2 linked regions of the Ovis aries genome follow. The protein of the gene in region 1 interacts with the protein of each later gene in a biochemical or structural test. Links are inferred from orthologs where the notes say so. Each region holds a gene or a part of one and is shown on either strand. Other genes may lie near its edges.

The links.
Region 2: of the proteins of H1-5 (region 1) and PRKCA, one has a biochemical effect on the other in vitro, tested with the Homo sapiens proteins (2 studies listed by BioGRID). The link is inferred for Ovis aries from reciprocal best matches to the Homo sapiens genes H1-5 and PRKCA.

What each region holds. Positions count from the first base shown.
Region 1 is NC_056073.1:29,962,905-29,973,297, reverse strand, and holds H1-5 (histone H1.5), read right to left. Parts: upstream 6,408-10,393; 5' UTR 4,016-6,407; coding exon 3,335-4,015; 3' UTR 3,158-3,334; downstream 1-3,157. Other genes in the region: histone H2B type 1-C/E/F/G/I, read right to left, coding at 1,807-2,187; histone H2A type 1, read left to right, coding at 2,492-2,884; uncharacterized protein LOC101120961, read right to left, coding at 6,408-6,791, 8,063-8,348. UniProt on the Homo sapiens protein: Histone H1 protein binds to linker DNA between nucleosomes forming the macromolecular structure known as the chromatin fiber. Histones H1 are necessary for the condensation of nucleosome chains into higher-order structured fibers.
Region 2 is NC_056064.1:61,840,472-61,850,828, forward strand, and holds the start of PRKCA (protein kinase C alpha type), read left to right. Parts: upstream 1-4,971; 5' UTR 4,972-5,074; coding exon 5,075-5,247; intron 5,248-7,512; coding exon 7,513-7,544; intron 7,545-10,357. UniProt on the Homo sapiens protein: Calcium-activated, phospholipid- and diacylglycerol (DAG)-dependent serine/threonine-protein kinase that is involved in positive and negative regulation of cell proliferation, apoptosis, differentiation, migration and adhesion, tumorigenesis, cardiac hypertrophy, angiogenesis, platelet function and inflammation, by directly phosphorylating targets such as RAF1, BCL2, CSPG4, TNNT2/CTNT, or activating signaling cascade involving MAPK1/3 (ERK1/2) and RAP1GAP.

The sequences.
Region 1 (10,393 bases):
TTCTACTGTCTTTAAATCTTTCTGATGAAGTAACTGGGGATGTGTTAATTTGGTGCTGGTAGGTCTTCAAGGCCTAACACATGTTAATCCTTGCTCCCTTCCCTGATCGTTCAATGTCATACAAAGAACAATTTTCAGGCTCAAAGTGCATGCTCTTGTTCAATCACAGCTGACTCTTTGCAACCCTATGAATTGTAGGCCGCCAGGCTCCTCTGTCCATGCAATTTTCCAGGCAAGAATAACGGAGTGAGTTGCCATTTCCTCCTCCAGGAGACTGTCCTGACCCAAGGATCCAACCTCAAGTCTGAATTCTTACCTGGGAAGCCAAACTAGTAGGCAGTAAATAGCATATAACTGAAGTTAAATAATATATATGGGCTTCCCGGGTGGCTAAGTGGAATTGGCCTGCATTGCAAGAAATGCTGGTCTGATTCCTGGGTCAGGAAGATTTCCCTAAGAAGGAAATGGCAACCCACTCGGGCTCTTGCCTGGAAAATCCTATGGACAGATAATCCTGGCGGCCTACAGTCCATTTAGTCACAAAACAGTGGGAAACAACTTAACGACTAAAGGACCACCGCTGGGAGATTGAACCTCCTGCTGGGAGAAACAGTGGAAACAGTGGCTGACTCTATTTTGGGGGGCTCCAAAATCACTGCAGATGGTGATTGCGGTCATGAAATTAAAAAACACTCCTTGGAAGGAAAGTTATGACCAACTTAGACAACATATTAAAAAGCAGAGACATTACTTTGTCCACAAGGGTTGGTCTAGTCAAGGCTATGGTTTTTCCAGTAGTCATGTATGGATGTGAGACTTGGCCTATAAAGAAAGCTGAGTGCCAAAGAACTGATGCTTTTGAAGACTCTTGAGAGTTCCTTGGACTGCAAGGAGATCCAACCAGTCCATTCTAAAGGAGATCAGTTCAGGGTGTTCTTTGGATGGAATGATGCTAAAGCTGAAACTCCAATACTTTGGCCACCTGATGCAAAGAGCTGACTCATTTGAAAAGACTCTGATGGTGGGAAAGATTGAAGGCAGGAAGAGAAGGGGACGACAGAGGATGAGATGGTTGGATGGCATCATCAACTCAATGGACATGGGTTTGGGTAGACTCCAGCAGTTGATGACGGACAGGGAGGCCTGGAGTGCTGCTGTTCATGGGGTCGCAGAGTCGGACAAGACACTGAACTAACTGAACTGGGAGAAAATATGCCATCCTGCTACTCTCCAGGTTTCAAAGACTGCCTTTTCATTTAGAATTTCTCCCTTATTACAAGGTAAAGAAGAAATGAGTGAAATGAACTGTTGGGCTGACTCAGAGAAGAAACTGACATGTTCTTGATTTTTCCATTATAGAATCTGACCATGGAAAAAAGTGAAGAGTGGTGCCGTTACCAAAAGGGGTGAAACATTTAAATTTAAGAACATGATGCAGCACCAAACTACGTGAAAAATCTAAAGGTAGGACAACCTGCTTCTATGCATGCTCAATCAGTAAGTCGTGTCCAACTCTGTGACCCCCATGGACTGCTCTATCCATAGGATTCTCCAGGCAACAATACTGGAGTGGGGTGCCATGCCCTTTTCCAGCGGATCCTTCCAACTAAGGGATCGAACCTGCATCTCCCTGCGGCTCCTGCATTACAGGTAGATTCTTCGCCGCTGAGCCACCGGAGAAGCCCAATACGGCTTTTACCTACTTCTAAAGTTAGGTAAACTAAGTGCCAGTTCTCTTTGGAAACCGTGAATGGCTCTGAAAAGAGCCTTTGGAAGTGTTTGGGGTCTGATCAAGAAGTCAGTGGCTCACTTGGAGCTGGTATACTTGGTGACGGCCTTGGTGCCCTCAGACACGGCGTGCTTGGCCAGTTCTCCGGGAAGCAGCAGGCGCACAGCCGTCTGGATCTCCCTGGATGTGATGGTCGAGCGCTTGTTGTAATGAGCCAGGCGCGACGCCTCGCCCGCGATGCGCTCGAAAATATCGTTCACGAACGAATTCATGATGCCCATGGCCTTGGACGAGATGCCGGTGTCCGGGTGGACCTGCTTCAGCACCTTGTACACGTACACGGAGTAGCTCTCCTTGCGGCTGCGCTTGCGCTTCTTGCCGTCCTTCTTCTGCGCCTTGGTCACCGCCTTCTTGGAGCCCTTCTTCGGGGCCGGAGCGGACTTGGCTGGCTCAGGCATGACTGACGATAATTACAAGATCGCAGAAAAAAAGTGAAGGATCTCTCAGCGCGTCTATTTTATCATGCAATATGCAAATTAGATTTAGTACCGTTCTGTGTCTGATTGGTGAATACTCGTAGTGACATCACATTCAATTTTATCCAATGAAAACGCTCATTTTAAGGACCTACACTTTACTCTGCAACTTTAACTGCAACTTTACCCAATGGAATAGCTTCTTTTTCGCGCCCAACTGCAGCTATAAAATGTGCAGTTTTCTTTTACTTTAGTCTCTTCGGGTGTAGTCTTGAAGAGTTGTAGTATGTCTGGACGTGGTAAACAGGGCGGCAAAGCTCGCGCCAAGGCCAAAACCCGCTCCTCGCGGGCCGGGCTCCAGTTCCCGGTAGGCCGAGTGCACCGGCTGCTCCGCAAAGGAAACTACGCCGAGCGGGTCGGGGCCGGGGCCCCGGTGTACCTGGCGGCGGTGCTGGAATACCTGACAGCCGAGATCCTGGAGCTGGCAGGCAACGCAGCCCGGGACAACAAGAAGACACGCATCATCCCGCGTCACCTGCAGCTGGCCATCCGCAACGACGAGGAGCTCAACAAGCTGCTGGGTAAAGTCACCATCGCTCAGGGTGGTGTCCTGCCCAACATCCAGGCGGTGCTGCTGCCCAAGAAGACCGAGAGCCATCACAAGGCCAAGGGCAAGTGAGGGGTCAAGAGCCACGCCTTCCAAACCAAAGGCTCTTTTCAGAGCCACCTACTTTTTCTGCTGAGGAGCTGGGACAGTAGTATTAATTAACCTTAGCCTGCCAAGTTGCTTCGGTCGTGTCTGACTCTGCGACCCCATAAATGGGCAACCCACCAGGCGGGCCTTTCCTTGGGATTATCCTGGCAAGAACACTAGATGTTACTTACCATGAAAGTGAAAAGCGCGACCCCATGCACTGCATGCAGTCCAAGACGCCCTTACTCAAGAGTTAAGTAAGTTCTATGATTTTATTGGTAGGGGGAAAATGGATTAACGGGAAGGAATATTGGCGGTAAGGAATATTGGCTTGGAGAGCGACTAGAAAATAGATCAAAGTGCACAGCTGTTTCCAGAGATCTCTGGGTGGCTCTGAAAAGAGCCTTTGGGGTTTGCTTCTCAAGCGCCAACTTTCTACTTCTTCTTAGGAGCCGCCTTCTTCGCCTTTGCAGCTTTGGGTTTTGCTGCCTTAGGCTTGGAGGTTTTGGGTTTCGCCGCCTTTGGCTTCACTGCCTTGGGCTTCGCGGGGCTTTTAGCAGCCTTCTTTGGCTTTGCCGCTGTTTTGGCCTTCTTGGGGCTCTTGGCCACTTTTTTGACACCAGAGGCCGCGGGCTTTTTCGCCTTCTTAGGCGTCTTCTTAACGGCTTTTTTCGCTCCCGCAGCCTTCTTGGGTTTCTTAGGGGTGGCCCCTGCGGGTTTCTTCGCTTTCGCAGCCCCCGCCTTCTTGGTTTTGGGCTTGGCTTCCCCAGCAGCCGCCTTCTTGTTGAGCTTGAAAGAGCCGGAAGCCCCGGTGCCCTTGGTCTGCACCAGTGTGCCCTTGCTCACTAGGCTCTTGAGACCCAGCTTGATGCGGCTATTGTTCTTCTCCACATCGTAGCCCCCGGCTGCCAGCGCTTTCTTGAGCGCAGCCAAAGAAAGGCCATTGCGCTCTTTGGAGGCGGCGACAGCCTTAGTGATCAGCTCGGAAACTGGGGGCCCGGTAGCCTTGCGCTTCGCCGCTCCACCGCTCGCGGTCTTCTTGGTTGTTTTCTTCTTGGCAGGAGACTTCTCCACCGGCGCCGGGGCGGCCGTCTCAGCAGGAGCGGTTTCCGACATTGCGATGGGAGAACCTGCTAGAAGCAGAGAGACTCAAATTCCAAAGAGCAAGTTTTGCAATGCTGTCTTGCGCCGGCCCGGGTTTATATAAGTCGGTGCTGCCCTGTGATTGGTGGAACGTCCGATCCACCGCCCTCAGGCAGCCGCCTGTCGTGGTTGGACTCCCAAACTGTGTTTGTTAGTCCCCAAAATTTGATTAAATGTTAAAAACAGTGGTACAGAATTTGACTCTTTGAAGCTTCAGAGGAGGAAAACAGCCTCCAAGGTCACATACTTGTTTGTGTTTTTATGACTCACGCGCAGTTAATGAAAGATATTTTTAAAAATCCCTTCAGCTTTTCCTATAGATTCACCGGACGTAAGGCATCGAGCTACGTAGTTGCATATTGCAATAAAGTTTTAGTTAAGTATCAAGTGAATGTTTTTTAAAAGGCATTGTCGCCAAGTTCGGCCTTCGATTTTTGCAAGAGGAAAGACACTAGGTTCCTTGGTTTTGCTTAAACTTTGCTTCGAACGGCAGCAAGTAACACAGGTGCAGGATGGCCAGTTGCCTACAGCCACAAATTAAGCATATAGATTTTACTTTAAAAATCGGTTTTGTCTTCCACGGAGTTTCCAGATGCCATTGTTTTTAGAGAATGGGATTTCGCGGCTCGGACTAGTTCTGTAGTCAAAGTGACTTCTTCCATGAGGAATAGAAATTGCTTTGGCTTCAGAATCCAATGACCTGTCTTCAAATTCAAACAAATTTAGTCTGTTTTTGATTGAGAAGCTTTCTCCCTTTAATTTGTAAGCAAATCCATTAAAATGAGAAAGAAAATTTCTTAACCCAGAAATGTATTTTAGAAAAAAAACCCCTCTGAAATCGGCTAAAAATTATTCAAGGGCTTCCAGCAACAGCGGAAAGGCTGTTTAGATGGCATGGGTCTCTCTCCCTCTCTTAGAAGCTGTTTTCCTCCTTTGGAGCTTCAGCACTTTCCACTGCTCTCCCTCAAACTCCATTTCCACCAACATTTAACAAATTGAATGGTCAGGAACACCTTCTTTTGTAGGACCTCAGTGTGGATATTTCTGTATATTTAATGAAGATAGACCTGTATCTTTCAGTGAAATAATTGGCTTCTGACTATAAGTGTGGGTTGGATAGTAAGGGAGTGAGTGGAGGTTATATAAGTTCAAGAGAATTCAGGAAAACATTAACATCCAAGGGCCCTGAGGCAGTAACTTTGAGGTGAAATGGAGGGTGATGTTTGTTATTTTGGGGGAGGAGGAAGCTTGGAGAGGATTTTGTCCCTGGATGCAATGATGATTAGGGTCTCTCATACAGTCAACAGTCAGTTCTTGTGAAAACCTGTAGGCTGACACTTCATGTCTTCAGGGGTTCCTGGAGTTGAAACTATAGCCTCTTATGGCCAAATCTTATTTGGCTTATTTTTGTATGGTCAAGGTAAGTTTCTGTATTTTTAAGAATATCTTTAAGATGTGACAGAGACTATATGTTACCTGCAAAACCTAAAATATTTACTTTATGGCTTTCACGGTTTGAATTCCTCCTCAGATAGTTCATGTTTTTCTTACAGGTCTGCCTTTTTCAGAATTATGCAAACCCAGATCTAAAGAAAAGGAGATCTTAAGAAAATGATTCAATCAAGCATTTCCCACTGTTTCAATCACAAAACTTTCAGAAAACTTGGGAAGGCTGGGAGGGGAGGGGGCGGTGGCGGTGTCTGCTTTACAAAAGAAGGGCATAATATAGCTAACATTCATTGAGCATTTAGTGCCAGGAACGTCTTAGTATGGTCTACAAACTAATTCATTTGCCACATTTTACAGCTGTTGTAGGTGAGTCGCAGAGAGCTGAGTAATTGGGCAACTGGCTGCTGTGAACCTCGACCAATATTTCTTCCTGCAACAGGGAGACAGGAGACACATTATCTTAAGTTGTATGGCACTTGGCAAAAGGTGGGGGAAAGGCGCTTCGTTTGTCATTACAGAACTATCCACAGGAAGCACTAATTAAGAAGTAATGGACCACTTTCAGTCACTTCCTTTAGCCAAGGATTAAATATTCTCTTTAAAAAAATGCTTCCCCGAGAAACAGTTCAATAGACTGATTCGGAGCCCAGGATACAGCCACTTCTGCATAGTATTGCCGTGGCAGTAATATTTGGGTCCACGATACGTTCCATTTAAAACTCATGGCGTTTTTCATTTGCTGGTAATTATGTATACTCGACAATGAACAGCTCCCTTTTGGTGACAATTGAGGGGCTCTTAAAAGAGCCTTTGGTGGTATGTGTTACTTGGAGGAGCCACTAAATTTATGCTCTCTCCCCACGGATGCGGCGGGCAAGCTGGATGTCCTTGGGCATGATGGTGACGCGCTTGGCGTGGATGGCACACAGGTTGGTGTCCTCGAAGAGCCCCACCAGATAGGCCTCGCACGCCTCCTGCAGCGCCATCACGGCTGAGCTCTGGAAGCGCAGGTCAGTCTTGAAGTCTTGCGCGATCTCGCGCACCAGCCGCTGGAACGGCAGCTTGCGGATCAGCAGCTCCGTGGACTTCTGGTAACGGCGGATCTCGCGCAGAGCTACCGTGCCGGGCCGGTAGCGGTGCGGCTTCTTCACGCCGCCGGTGGCCGGCGCGCTCTTGCGAGCCGCCTTGGTGGCGAGCTGTTTGCGCGGCGCCTTGCCGCCGGTGGACTTGCGAGCCGTCTGCTTAGTGCGAGCCATTGGTAAGTAGTGCCAACTACCTAACAGTGATGTGAGCACTCGGTCTTCCCAAAATATATAGCGAACCTCGCATCTTGATTGGACAATAAACTGCTGCTCCCTCGCCTACCCCGCCCTTCCACGCCCATTCTTTCTGGGTTTAGGAAGCATTGTCCCGCCTCTTCTTCGGACTCTAGGATTACGTGGTGAGATAGGAAATATCTTGTTGGCTTTTTAAAGAAGCCTGCAGGATGTATCCAAATTCTTAAATTCGTCATCTAGAGTAGGGGTCCCCAACCTCCGGGATCTAACTGTCTGGTGATCTGAGGTGGAACTGATGAAATAAAAGTAAGAATAAAGTGTGCTAGTCTCTCAGTGTCCGAATCTGTGATCCCATGGACTGTAGGCTACCAGCCTCCTCTGTCCATGGGATTTTCCAGGTAAGAATACTCAAGTGGTTTGCCGTTTCCTACTCCAGAGAAATAAAGTGCACAATAAATAGTCGTCGCTCTTCAGTTGCTCAGCCGTGTCCCTACTCTTTGCGACCCCATGGACTACAGCATGCCAGGGTTCACAGTTCTTCACTATCCCTTGGAGTTTGCTCAAACTCATGTCCGAGTCAGTGATACTATCTCATCTTCTGTCTCCCCCTTCACCTCCTGCCCTCAATCTTTCTCAGCATCAGGATATTTTCCGATGAGTGGGCTCTTCGCATGACGCGGCCAAACTATTGGAGCTTCTAACATGGCTTAAATCATCCCGAAACCATCCACCACCCAGGCGCGTCGAAAACTGTCTTCCACAAAACCGGTCGCTGCCGCCAAAAAGGTTGGGGACAGCTAATCTAGAGAACCTTGCATTATTTTAGATATAAGCTGTCATGATTTGACAAGCTTCAATAACATGAAACGAGTGTTTAAGTGGAGGCAAGTTAAAGTCAATCCAGTCACCACGTTCTGTTCCAGAACTCTGTAATAGCTAACTAAAACGAAGCTTGGTTACCTTTTCCCCTTAATACTTCATATTTGTTATTGCTAGCCTTACTGCTCGGTGAGCTATTTACCCTTAAAGTGTGAGCAGTGAACACAAAGACCATTTTGCCTGGCTTACAAGAAACGACATCAAACGAAAATCTGCCACTGCTGGTGATGGAAATACTGACGAAGGACTGGAGGTTGTGACCATACGCAAATTATACGAGACCTTAATCTTTCCCACACAACCTAACGACTTTAGCGCCCACAGCTCTTTACCAGACTTAGTGGGTGGCCCTAAGAAGGGCCTTTAAAGTATGACAGTTAAACGCAGCTTTAACCGCCGAAGCCGTAAAGGGTACGTCCCTGACGTTTCAGCGCATAGACCACATCCATGGCGGTGACAGTTTTGCGCTTGGCATGCTCGGTGTATGTGACCGCGTCCCGAATCACATTTTCCAGGAACACCTTTAGCACCCCACGAGTCTCCTCGTAGATGAGACCAGAGATCCGCTTCACGCCACCACGACGAGCCAGACGACGAATAGCGGGCTTGGTAATGCCCTGGATGTTGTCGCGAAGAACCTTGCGGTGGCGCTTAGCACCCCCCTTTCCGAGGCCCTTACCGCCCTTGCCGCGTCCAGACATATCCGCAACCACACTCGCTACGGCGCTATAGTTCCCCAAGGCCGTGTTTTATATAGTGATGTTTCGGACCTGATTGGGAACCGCTCAGACCAGCCGTGACGCCTCTGGGAGTTTCCAGACCTGAAGCCCGGCCCACGTTTTCCGCAAAATGGAGAGGCGCTTAAAATAGAGTCAGAAAATGGTCCTAATAAAATCCCTCTCTTCAGCTTCTACAATACATTGTGTTGCCCGTGCCCACAACTGGAAAACCATTCCTTTGTTTGAGTTAGGACTTGCTGCCCTTTTCTCTTTATGCTTTCTCTTGGGCATTGATCGTACTAGCGAGTTGTGGCTTCCGGAATGAATGGCCCATCTCGAGAGCCGTGATTGTAGTCTTTTGGGGGTTTTTGTGAAACCTCGTGGCTGAGAGCCTGATTATAGATAACTTCAGGATGGGCTTCCTCATCGTTCTCAGCAGTGGTCTCCCCTTTTCCTTTTCTTTTACTCATCCTATCATCTTCCTTTCTCTTCCCTCACTAGCTGCCACATTTTTGCTGGTAGAACTGTTTTTTTTTTTTTTTTTCAAATGTTTTTCGTTTCACTTAAAAACACTTCAGGAAATTGAGGAAGCTCAGTTTTTACCCGCCGTTTCCTCTGGCGAGTCCATGAGTAAATGAAAATCCTCTCAGGGACTCCTTTCCTGTCCTCCCCCTACCTTCTACTCACCCCCCCCCCCCCCCCACCCCCGCCATCACCACCTTCCTCTATCTCTCTTTTCTTGAATTGAGAAATCAAGTGCACCCCAAAATTCTGTGCCTTTAATAGTGTCTTTAATAAAGCGCTGAATGTAAAGACCAGGAACGATTTTATTCCAGGAATTTAAAAAATAAAAAACTTTCAAATGTTTCCTTGACTCCTGGCTATTTGAAATGACCTTTCGAGCCCTGGCTTGTCTGTAGCAGATTTCATTTCTCCGAGAAAATGCCTTCTCTAACGCATAACACATTTACTTTTTCTCTTTTTCCGAGCTTCAGAAATGTTTACCTTTTCTCTTTTAAATATGTGTGGTTGATTATTTACTACTTGAACAAATACCTAATATTATTCTCCAAATTTACTTTATAATCTCTGTAAATACTATATGTGCAAAAGATTGCATGCCCATCTTCTATTAGTTAATCCATTTCTTATTGAGTTACTTGTCTGGCTTTCTTCTTCTTCCTGCTCCTGTTTACTAATGGAATCTGAGTGCTTAACCTTGAAGATGTTATTGGGTGGGTAATCTCAACAATCCTCTTGCCTTGCAACTACAGAAAAACCAGGCAGCTTTCTGCCTTGTTACCTAGCAGTTGTTGAAGAGGGTGTTTGCTATGACCAGTGCATTATCTTGGCAAAATTTTGTTAGCCTCTGACCTGCTTTGTTTCATACTCCAAGGCCAAATTTGCCTGTTACTCCAGGTATCTCTTGACTTCCTACTTTCACATTCCAGTCCGCTATAATGAAAAGAACATCTTTGGGGGGTGTTAGTTCTAAAAGGTCTTGTAGGTCTTCACAGAACCGTTCAACTTCAGCTTCTTCAGCATTACTGGTAGGGGCACAGACTTGGATTACTGTGATATTGAATGGTTTGCCTTGGAAATGAACACATATCATTTTGTTGTTTTTCAGATTGCATCCAAGTACTGCATTTTGGACTCTTGTTTACTGTGATGGCTACTCCATTTCTTCTAAGGGATTCTTGTTCACAGTAGTAGACATAATGGTCATCTGAGTTAAATTCACTCATTCCAGTCCATTTTAGTTCACTGATTCCTAAAATGTCTACATTCACTCTTGCCATCTCCTTTTTGACCAGTTCCAATTTGCCTTGATTTGGAATTTAACATTCCAGGTTCCTATGCAATATTGCTCTTTACAACATTGGACTTTACTTCCATCACCAGTCACATCCACAACCGGGTGTTGTTTTTGCATTGGCTCTGTCTCTTTATTCTTTCTGGAGTTATTTCTCCACTGATCTCCAGTAGCATATTGGCCACCTACCTGACCTGGGGAGTTCATCTTT
Region 2 (10,357 bases), on another chromosome or scaffold:
TCTCCGAGACAGATCACCCCACCCTGCGTTTGTTTGAGACTTCAGGACTTACTGCACATCAGCTGGTTTTGTTGATATTTATATACATTTATATTATGTGTCATCTGGCTAAATTTCTAAGGAAATCCTAGGGTAGTTGCGAGTATCTCCATTTTTAGATGCAGAGAGACTTGGAGAAGCTAATTTACCCCAATGACACAAATCAATCAGTGTTGAAGCTTGGATTCCAACACAGGTTTTCTGATCCTCTGTCTGGTTTGTGTCATGTCTGCTGTAGGAAAACTGGGAGAAAGTGGAGGAAAAATGCTTTGTGGAGGAGGCAGAAATCCTGGACACCTAGAAGTGTCCCCGGGCAGTCCACTCAGGAATTCAGCTTCTAGCACTGGACCGGGGCTGCAGAAGAGCTGAGGGTCACTGGCTGGAAACACTTCTCAAACATTCCACATCCAAATCAGTACTGTCTCTACTCCACGCAACAACAAAAAAATTCTGGCAGAAAACTTTTTGTGTTAAAAGTAATAAATACCTTCTTTTGGTGACATTAGAAATGTGACTTTCAATGCCCTTTCAAAACATGAGTCCTGGGCAGAAGACTTCTCTTCCTGATCAGAAGAGTGTTTATAACCCAGCCACCCAGAGAGAGTGACTTAAATGAACATTTGCCATGTATGTCCCTGTATACACCTGTGTGTACACGCAAAAGCTTATTTAGAGGGTGCACACGGGGTGCCCCAGTATTCACCTGTGTGTACACAAACAAGCATATTTAGAGCATACAGACGTGGTGCCCCGTGTACATCTGTGTGTACACGCACAAGCATGTGTGGAGCATACGGACGTGGCTCTGCATGTGCGCTCGGTCACTTCGTCATGCCTGACTCTTGCAAGCCCATGCGCTGTGGCAGGCACTGTGCACTGCGGCCCACCAGGCCCCTCTGTGCGTGGAATTCTCCAGGCAAGAATCCTGGAGCGGGTTCCCATTTCCTAGTCCAGGGGCTCTTCCTGTCTCAGGGGTAGAGCCACACCTCCTGCACTGGCATGCGGGTTCTCTACCACTGAGCCGCCCGGGAAGCCCAGATGTGGGCGCCCAGACATCCAGGACCGGCATCTCTGAGCACTGTTCCACATCCTGCTCCCTTCACTCACCAGGGAGCCACGGATGCCTTAAGACGCAGCATATTCACTCAGGGCTTGATGATAGTTTTCTTTGATGCTTTCCAAGAGTCTGGTCCAGGCAGCACCTCTGCAAAGAGTGTCAAGCTTACTCCTCAGAGTCAGGGATCACAGAGGAGGGTTCTCACAAACCCCACATTCAGTCTAGCGTCCCTGCTCTCCCGCGCCTTCCCCAGGAAAACAGCAGACTCTAAACTCATCACTACCACCACGTCTCACTGACACTCCCCCTGCACCGGGCTCTCTCTTTCTGGAAACCCTTCCCTTTTAGTGGCCCCATGGACACCCTGCCAGGTGGGCTGCAGGGGCTGAATCCGAATCTGGTCTCTGTACCGGCCACGGAATTAAATCTCAGAGACAGAGCCTGGGGTGATGCAGGGCAGTTTCATCGCTTTGCCAGGCAGAGGGTGCCACAGTGGCCTCGTGCCCTCAGAAATGGTGTAAGACCTGGAAGGGGCGGGGGGGGAGCTTTATAGTAACGGCTCACAGAGGGCGCGATCAGCCTGCAGGCATCCTTCTGATGGACTGGTGCTGGGGTGACCAGGAGTCGGAACCATTGTTGCAGAGACAGAGTAAAAAGAGGAAGCAGCTTTCACTTTCCCGATCCTGAGAGCAAAGAAGATAAAGAGAAGACATAGATAAAGAGGCCTGAACACTCCTAGTTGTTTTTTTTTTTTACTTTAACTGCTAACTCTGCATGTCTGTATCTAGCTTTACTTTTCTGCATCCCCAGTGTTTATCCTTACAACACCCGTCCCCTTGTAGCTGCACATCAGAAAGAAGGCCACAGAGCCGCCGGACAGCCAGACCCAACTATCGGGCTACTGATGCCGGCCTGTGAAACAACGCAACATGAAGACATCAAGAGCCAAACACCTTTACTCCTACAGCTGGGCGCCTAAGCCCTTCTGGTCCCCATTTCTTGGTTACAGGAAAGAGGCTTCATTCAGCCCGAATGACCTTCCCTGAGCTCCAACAGGTAAGTTCAAATAGATGCTGACTAGGGAAGGGAGGGGAGAAGCTAGCTACTGCAAGCCCTATTTTCATGGAAGCCCCTGGGCTCCTCATGGGGGGCACAGTTCTTGAGCCACGAGCCTACCGTGTTGCCCTCTCTGCAGCTGAGGATTGAAGCCACCTTTCTATTTCCTCCAAACTTTGTCTCCATATTTTTTCATTCAGCTTTGGTGGGCAGAGAAAGCCAAGATTTGGGCCAGCAACACCATCAACCTTCTGGTTCTAACCGGTCTGGGATCTAAGTGCTTGCAGGTAGCATACGGATAACTTCTCCCACCTGGTGGGGGTTTCCGCACCTTCAAACCAGCTCAAAGATAGTGTTCTGGGTAACCCTTGAGGGTGGGGGGGACAGAGACCCTGCCCCACAGCTGCTCTGCTTCTCTAGGCTTCCTCCCTTGTTTCTACACCCCCTCCCTTCCCTGCTGCTGCTGCTAAGTCGCTTTAGTCGTGTCCAACTCTGTGCGACCCCATAGACGGCAGCCCATGAGGCTCCCTCGTCCCTGGGACTCTCCAGGCAAGAACACTGGAGTGGGTTGCCATTTCCTTCTCCCTTCCCTTCCCTAATCAGCATTTATTTGAACTTACCTGTTGGAGCTCAGGGAAGGTCATTCGGGCTGAATGAAGCCTCTTTCCTGTAACCAAGAAATGGGGACCAGAAGGGCCTAGGCGCCCAGGAGCCCCGCAGGGCCCGGCTGGGTTTCAGGGCCTTGTGTGGCCCGCCCCTGCTCCTTGCTGGGGTGGCGCTGCACAGCTCAAGGACCCGCCCCCCGCAGGTGCATCCCGAAGCCGCCCCGCAACTGAGCTCAGCTGTAGGCAACTGATCACGTGCGCTGTCATCACTCAAGTAACTTCAGTTTGTTCTCTCCCTACTCACAGGGACCAACAGTAATAATGGAGGCAAGAAAGCAAAACTACAGCCCGAAAGAAATGAGAGACTGTCTCTGGTCTCTCCACCCCCGAGAGCGGGCTCCCCTCCCTGCAAGGCCGTTTCGGTTCTTCTCTCGCCTCCCGCTCCCTCTGCTCAGACATCACTCTCACCTACTGCCCCTCCTCCAAGCTCTCCCATCTCTTTCTTCCACCTTTACCTCAGAACTTCAGGGAAACAGAAAGAAGCTTGTCTTCATACAAGGGGTGATGGCCTGTCTTAGATCCAGGTGGTTTTGAGGCAAGAATTTGTGTTTCTTTCTACCATCAATTACAAGTCCCGTGATTTTCCCATGTAACTTACAAGCATTAAGCAATACACGACCGTGCTTGAGACGGTAATAGTGTTTTTCGGAGAGCTTGTTCTATTTTCCTACGTTCCCTGCTTTTCATTCCTTCCCTTGCATCTTCTTTTTTTTGCTTCCTTGAACTGGCGTGCACGCTGCTTCACTTCAGTCGCGTTCGACTCTGCGATCCCATGGACTGTAGCCCGCCAGGATCCTGTCCCTGAGATTCTCCTGGCAAAAACACGAGCGGGTTGCCATGCCCCCCTCCAGGGGGATCTTCCTGACCCAGGGATGGAACCTGCGCCTCTTGTGTCTCCTGCACTGGCAGGAGTTCTTGACCACTAGTCCCACCCGGGAAGCCCCGCCCCCTTCCACTCGGGCCCCGCCAAAAGTGGAGAAGTTTCTGACCAGACTAGCCGGCAGGTGCAATGTTCTTAAGCTCCAAGAACATTGGTCGGAAACATTGTGAGTGAGCGCTGGAAGTACACGCCCTTTAAGGGCGGGTCAATCGCTTACCCCTGTCAAAACAAAAGACATTCCTACCAACAGGCGTTCAACTGAGCAATCTTAAAAGAAATGGAACCCTACTTGGCCTGTGTACCATAAGACAGCATAGATCTTAGGAAAGGTTTCTTCCTTCCTTCCATCTCTAGTTCTTTTCCTATCTTCTTGAAGAATTCCACATATTCCTTTCCATACATGCGTTAATTTCTGATCTGAGCGAATCTGACAACGAAATAAAACAATAATGAAACGTTTCCCTCATGTATTTTAGCATCCTCGGGGCAGAGCTAACGAGTATTCAGCAAGTGACTAGTCGGTCCGGCCCCACGCGCGTGCTTCGCCGGGCCGTGCCAGCCACGCTTTCACGGGGCAGTTTCACTCGGCAGTTTGCAAACGAACTGGCTGCGCTCGGCACCTGCCGGTGGTCATCAGCCTTAGGCTGCAAAACCGTGTCTAAATGGAGGCTCTGGGCTGGTAAAGTCAAGAAGACCTGATCACCCACGCTGTAAGCGTGGTACCCAACGGGTAACGGGGTGAACAGCCAGGACAGGTCCTCCAGCCGTCCCGAGACATCAGACGCGTGTACCCGGCGCGGGGCCGCCCGGCTCCGGGGCCGCAGGCGGCACAGCGTGCCGGCCCCGAGGGGCTGAGCCTCCGAGCGGCGCGGGCGTCGGTCCCGGGACGGCGCTGGGTCCTGGAAGGGGGCGCGGCCGGGGGCCGGCCCGGGACGCGGGGCTGCGCCTGGGGCGGGAGGAGCGGAGCGCGGGAGGGAGGAGCCCGGCAAACCCGGGGGAACGGGAGAGGGCGCTTCCCGGGCGGCTCGGGGGCCGCGGGGCCGCCGGCTCCCTCCGCGCGCGCCCCCGCCCTCCCGTGCGTCCCCGCCCCCTGCGCGCGCCCGCGCCGGCCCTCCCGCGCGCGCCCCCGCCCTCCCGTGCGTCCCCGCCCCCTGCGCGCGCCCGCGCCGGCCCTCCCGCGCGCCCCCGCCCCGCCCGCCGGGCCGCGCTCGGGCATGCGCGGTGGGCGGGCCGCCCCCGCCGCCCGACTAGGAAGCGCGAGCGCCGGCGCCGCCGTCAGAGCCGAGCGGCCCCAGCGAGCTCGCGGCTCCGCTCCGCTCCGCGCCCGCCCGGCTCCCGGCCGCCCGCGCCCCCCGCGGCCGGAGGCGGCGAGGGACCATGGCTGACGTCTTCCCGGCCGCCGAGCCGGCGGCGCCGCAGGACGTGGCCAACCGCTTCGCGCGCAAAGGGGCGCTGAGGCAGAAGAACGTGCACGAGGTGAAGAACCACCGCTTCATCGCGCGCTTCTTCAAGCAGCCCACCTTCTGCAGCCACTGCACCGACTTCATCTGGTGGGTGCGCGCCGGCCCTGCAGCGCCCGCGCCCGGCGGGGCCCCGCGCGGCGCCGCCGCCTCCCCGGGCCGGAGGCTCGGAGCGCGGCCCCCGAGGCTGCCCGGGCCCCGCCGCGCGCGCCGGCCTCGCCCCGCGCCGGGCCCGCGAGCCGGGGGGAGCGGCGGCAAACTGTTGAGGCGGGCGCGGGGAGGGCGGCGGCCGGCCGGCCGGCGGGGCGGGCGCGCGGGCGGCCTCTGCAGCGGACCCGGGCCTGCCCGGGGCTGCCGGCGGGCTGCGGCCGCCGAGCCCAGGTAACTTGCAGGCAGCGGGGGCCCCCGGGCCGCGCTTTCCGCGCCGCGGCTGCCGGACAGGCTGCAGGGCCTCCGATCCCGCCAAGCCGGAGGGGATCGCGCGTGTGCTTGTTTCCTGGGGAGACGCTGATGACTTTGACTGACTTTCGAAAGGTTGTGACCCCTCTCCTCCCGTTGTTTTAAGAAAGCTAAACTAGGGCAGTTCAGATGCCTCACTCGGAGAAGCACTCGCTTTTTTCCTCTTACGTTGCCAGACAACCTCCACGCATTCTGTCACTTGCTGCTGTGTGCAGGAAGCCCCCGGCCCCCCAAGTCGGAGCCGGCTGGGCCTGCTTCAGTCCCCTCCGCCGGGGGGAGCGGCGCCGGGCAGCTAACTGCCCAGCCGCTGTGTGGCTCCTGGATCTTGCGGGGCTCTTGGGAGAACGAACGCTGCTTGAATGCATCACACGGGGAAACCGTCTCCAAGGGCGAGTCCCGCAAACGTGCTAATTAATAGGTACTTAACTTCTCCCTTAAGCTCTATCTGAACCCGTCACACCTGGGGGAATCTTTAAGGGAAAGCCCCACAGATGTGCTCATAAGGTGCTTAACGTCTTCGCTTCTTTTTAGAAATCCGCTCCAAAGCACACTTAGGTAAAAAGCACAGCCACCTCTCCGAATTATTTCCGAGGTATAGTCAGCGCCTGAAGCGGTTGAGCTCCTAGGCCAATGTAGACAAGACTGCTTAAGGTCAGTTCTTGGAGCCTCAAGGCAGAGAGATTGTATTTAGTTAAGGGAAGGTCTTCGGCCTCACGTGTCAGCTGTGAAATTCCATTAAAACAGAACAGACTGCCGATTACTTTTGCAGGACGAGGGTGAGGTAGGAAAGAGGCTTGCAATCTATACATCCAGGCTTGCTGAAGACTTCCCGCTGCCATTTGTTGGCCCCTGTGAACTGATGTGGCCACCAGGCATAGCACGAAGTGGAAATGAAGACCTTGTCCTCTTCTTCCCCATAGTCAATACTCTTCTCCACTTGGCTGCAGAGCAACCCCTCGGAAGTTCCAGGAAAATACTCCCCAGCACGGTCTAGCCGTGGTTTTAATTTTTCAATTTTCTTCTCTTCTCTGCTTCCCTGGTTTACAACTCAAATATTAAAGCACTGGTATTTTAAAACTGTTTGCATTTAAATTTTTTGGGGGGGTGGGGAGTGACTAAGTTAATTATAAAGATATGTGAAGTGCTTTGTAAATTTAAAATGCTATGTAAAGCAAGAGATTATGACTCATAACCTTCTGAGAATTTTAATGTAGTTCATCCTAGTTGAAATGGTGTTTGCAATTTAATGTCCATGTCGGAGTTCTCTGCTTAGAGAGTAAATTCTCTAAAGTAATTTACAAGAGCAATATAGCTTCTGAATGTGCTTGAATGCTGTTGGTTCACAGTAAAATAAGATCATCATCTCACATGCAAACGATAGGGATGACACTGTAAAATCTGGCTCCTTTAAGCCAAAATTTAGTGTTAAGAGTGATGCTATGTGGTGATCTCTAGGTAGATAATACTTCATAACAAATGAGGAAGCCACTTGTTTGTTTTTGGGGTGAAAAGATTTTCAGTTGGTCTTTAGGGACCAAATTCAGCCATCTTTGTGGATTTGGTTTTTTAACCATAAACTTCTTCTTGTTGCTTGAATATTGTAGCCAACAACTTTATAGTCATGTTCTTAAATTAAGTACTGATAAAATGTTAGAAAAAACAAAAACAAAAGCCTGGCAAGAACCTTGAATATGTTGAAATGAGTTCAGTGAGACTTTGGAGGCCAGATCTTTTCAAAGTTGACTTGACTACACTCTGAGCTGTTTAGGCATGTTTTCCTGTCAAATCATTGGGTTTCATGTGCAAATCTTTACCTTTGTAGAATGCTTTGTCATATAACTGGCTTAAGATGTGGTGTCAACAGAAAATAAGAAATTTTTCTTGTTTGTTTTTCAGGGGGTTTGGGAAACAAGGCTTCCAGTGCCAAGGTAAGCTGCCATGTTGGATTTTATTTTCAAGTACAACAAGAAGTAAGCATTCCAGACAAGAACAGTGTTTCCAGTCATCTTTTATTTGATAAAAAAGCAAAAACACATTTAGATGTTTTCAAAATGTGAGGGCTGTAAACTTGGGCCTGGGGGAAGAACACCATTTGGTATTTTCTGGTACTCTGCGTATAGACCTGCCTTTTTCTTCAGGGGAATAAAACCTTCCTGTAACTTTTTTTTTTTTTTTTTTTTGCCGAGAACGTTCTTGTCAGAAACTGCTGCCTCTGTGTGGGTGTTCAGAAAAAATGGAGTCGCTTTGTGTTTGTGTGGCTCTTCTTCCTGTTCTGGCTCATCTTCTACCTAGGAACTGGGCTGGACTTCTCACTGTGGGCCATACAGCACCCTAGTAAGATGCCTGGGGGTTCCGGTGACGGATTGTCAGCCAGAATCAAGTCTGCATGTTTTAAAGGCTGCTGCATGGGGCACGTCTCTCCCTCACGTCCGTGTTGTGACAGCATCTGACACTCTTGGCTGCATCCACAGGAACGCATTTCCTCTCTGAAGGTGCATTTATCTCACACACTCCAAACGCCCAGCTTTTCATACCCTCTGTTGAAACTTTTTTTTTTTGAATGCTTTATTGCTCGTGAAGGCATCCTAGGTCATTAGCTCGCCTCACTGTCTATATTGTGTTTACTTAGTCCTGGTTACATTTCCCATCTGGGCTTCGGTTTATTAGGGCAAGTGGAAAGTACATTCTAGCCTGGAAAATATTATCCTAACGCTGTTTAATATTAAGCGCATTAGAGATACGCAGGGTGTACTCTTTATGACTTTAACATTGTGCTAGGAAGCTGGTCACGTTTCAAAACCTTCCACGCGCTGGAGAATGTGTTTCTTATATACGTTTTCTGCACATTTTTAGCTGCAGCTGGTTTATGGCATTGCCCATCAGCATTCCACTTTCCTTCACACTGTGCTTAACACCCCTGTTGAGTAAACTTATTTGGAGAGTCGCATGGAGTAATCCAGAGAGTCCTTTGGAAAAGAATGAGCGTGTGTCTCAGAGACAGAAGGAAATGCGACTCTTTCCGGTTCTCAGAGTTGTGGATCTGAGCTTCAGAGACAGCATTTGCAGTCTTTGAACATGGAGTTTAAGGATGCAACCTTGTGACTCTGGGCTAATGTGATTTCTTTCTCTTGTCATTTTTGGTAATGTACTTGGGCGGAGACCTATGGAAACTCATAAGGAAAAGTCTTTTCTAAATGTCCTAACTAATGCGCAAGAGGAAGTGGGTGTATGTCATTTAAAAAATGATCATTTTCTACAAAGAATCCAGGTTGACCCTTTTCAGACCTGCAGGTTTTGTTGTTGAAATTGGAGAGCTGGTGTGTTGACCACGGCAGGACCCACGTGGGTTCCCGGGAGCGTCGGTGGAGCTTTTAGTGGATTAGCAGGTCACTGGCCTCATGTCAGCATCGCCCCCTTTCACCTCAGTTATAATAGAAGCGATGCTCGTAGATTGTACACACACTGTATAAAAATGAAATTGTATCCTTGTTTTCTTTCCCCTCAGGCGTAACTTCAGACATCCATGCATTCACTAAATTACACATACTTTTTAAAAAGGTCTGAATTTTCAATCACTCTGATGCATTTTTCCAGCAGCAGGCAGCGGATGTGGGGAGATGCTTCTCTCTCAGAACGCCAGTTCTGCCTGATGTAGCTGCATATGTGGAGCATCAAACTGACTCACTTGTCCCTACTGAGGGACGTTTTAATTGTTTCTAAGTTCTTAGCAAATGAGGCTGTCAGTATCCTTGGGCTCTAGTATAGGCATGTCTGCAATAGATACTTAGAAGTGTGTGGATACATTTTAAACTTTAATAAGCACAGCTAAGTTGCTCTCCAGAAAGGTTCCAATTTGTATTTCTGTATCAATGTGAGAGTACCACTTTCTCTTCACTCTTAACCAGTGTTGGATAATACAAATAAATCCTCTGCCTTTTTGCTCTGATACATGAAAGGGGCTTCTTTCAAGTTTCATCTCCTGTGTGAGGTTAAGCACTTTTCCCAACACATTTTAGCCATTTTTTATCTGTCCTGTGAACTTCCTTAACATTTGAAATTGAGGATTTACAAACCAAATTACAGGAGTGAAGGTGTGATATTCTGTTTTTTTTTTTTTTGACTGGGCCACTGAGCTTGCAAGATCTGAGTTCCCTGACCGAGGACGGACCCTGTGCCCCCTGCAGTGTGGAAGCTGGGACTCCCAGGGAAGCCCCTGTGCTTGTCTTTGCTTTGAAGAGTTAGACCGGGTCCCTTTAATGAGCTACCCTATTGTATCTACACGTTAATTCACAAAAGCCGTTTCCAATATAAGTGTATCTGCAGTGAGCTAACTGCTTGTTACAACTGTCACGTGTCATCTGTATTTGACTCTGGCAGGCCTATACTAACCTGTTATCTTATTGTTGGTTGTAACTCAGATAATATTAGCTCGGGACAGTGGTGTTTTTCAGGTTTTAATTTTAATTTATTTTTAATTGGAGGGTAATTGCTTTGCCGTGTTGGCTTGGCTTCTGCCATGCGTATGCACGCCTCCCGGAACCTCCTTCCCACCTCATCCCGCCCCTGGGTTGTCACTGTTGTTTAATTGCCCAGTGGTTGCCCAGCGTTTTCCTATTTTGGTGCTCGCCACACTCTCTTTTTAAAAACGTTTTTTTGGCCACACCTCGAAGCTTGCGGGATCTTAGCTCCCTGACCAGGGGTCAGCCCTGTGCCCCTGCAGTGGAAGCATGGAACCCTGACC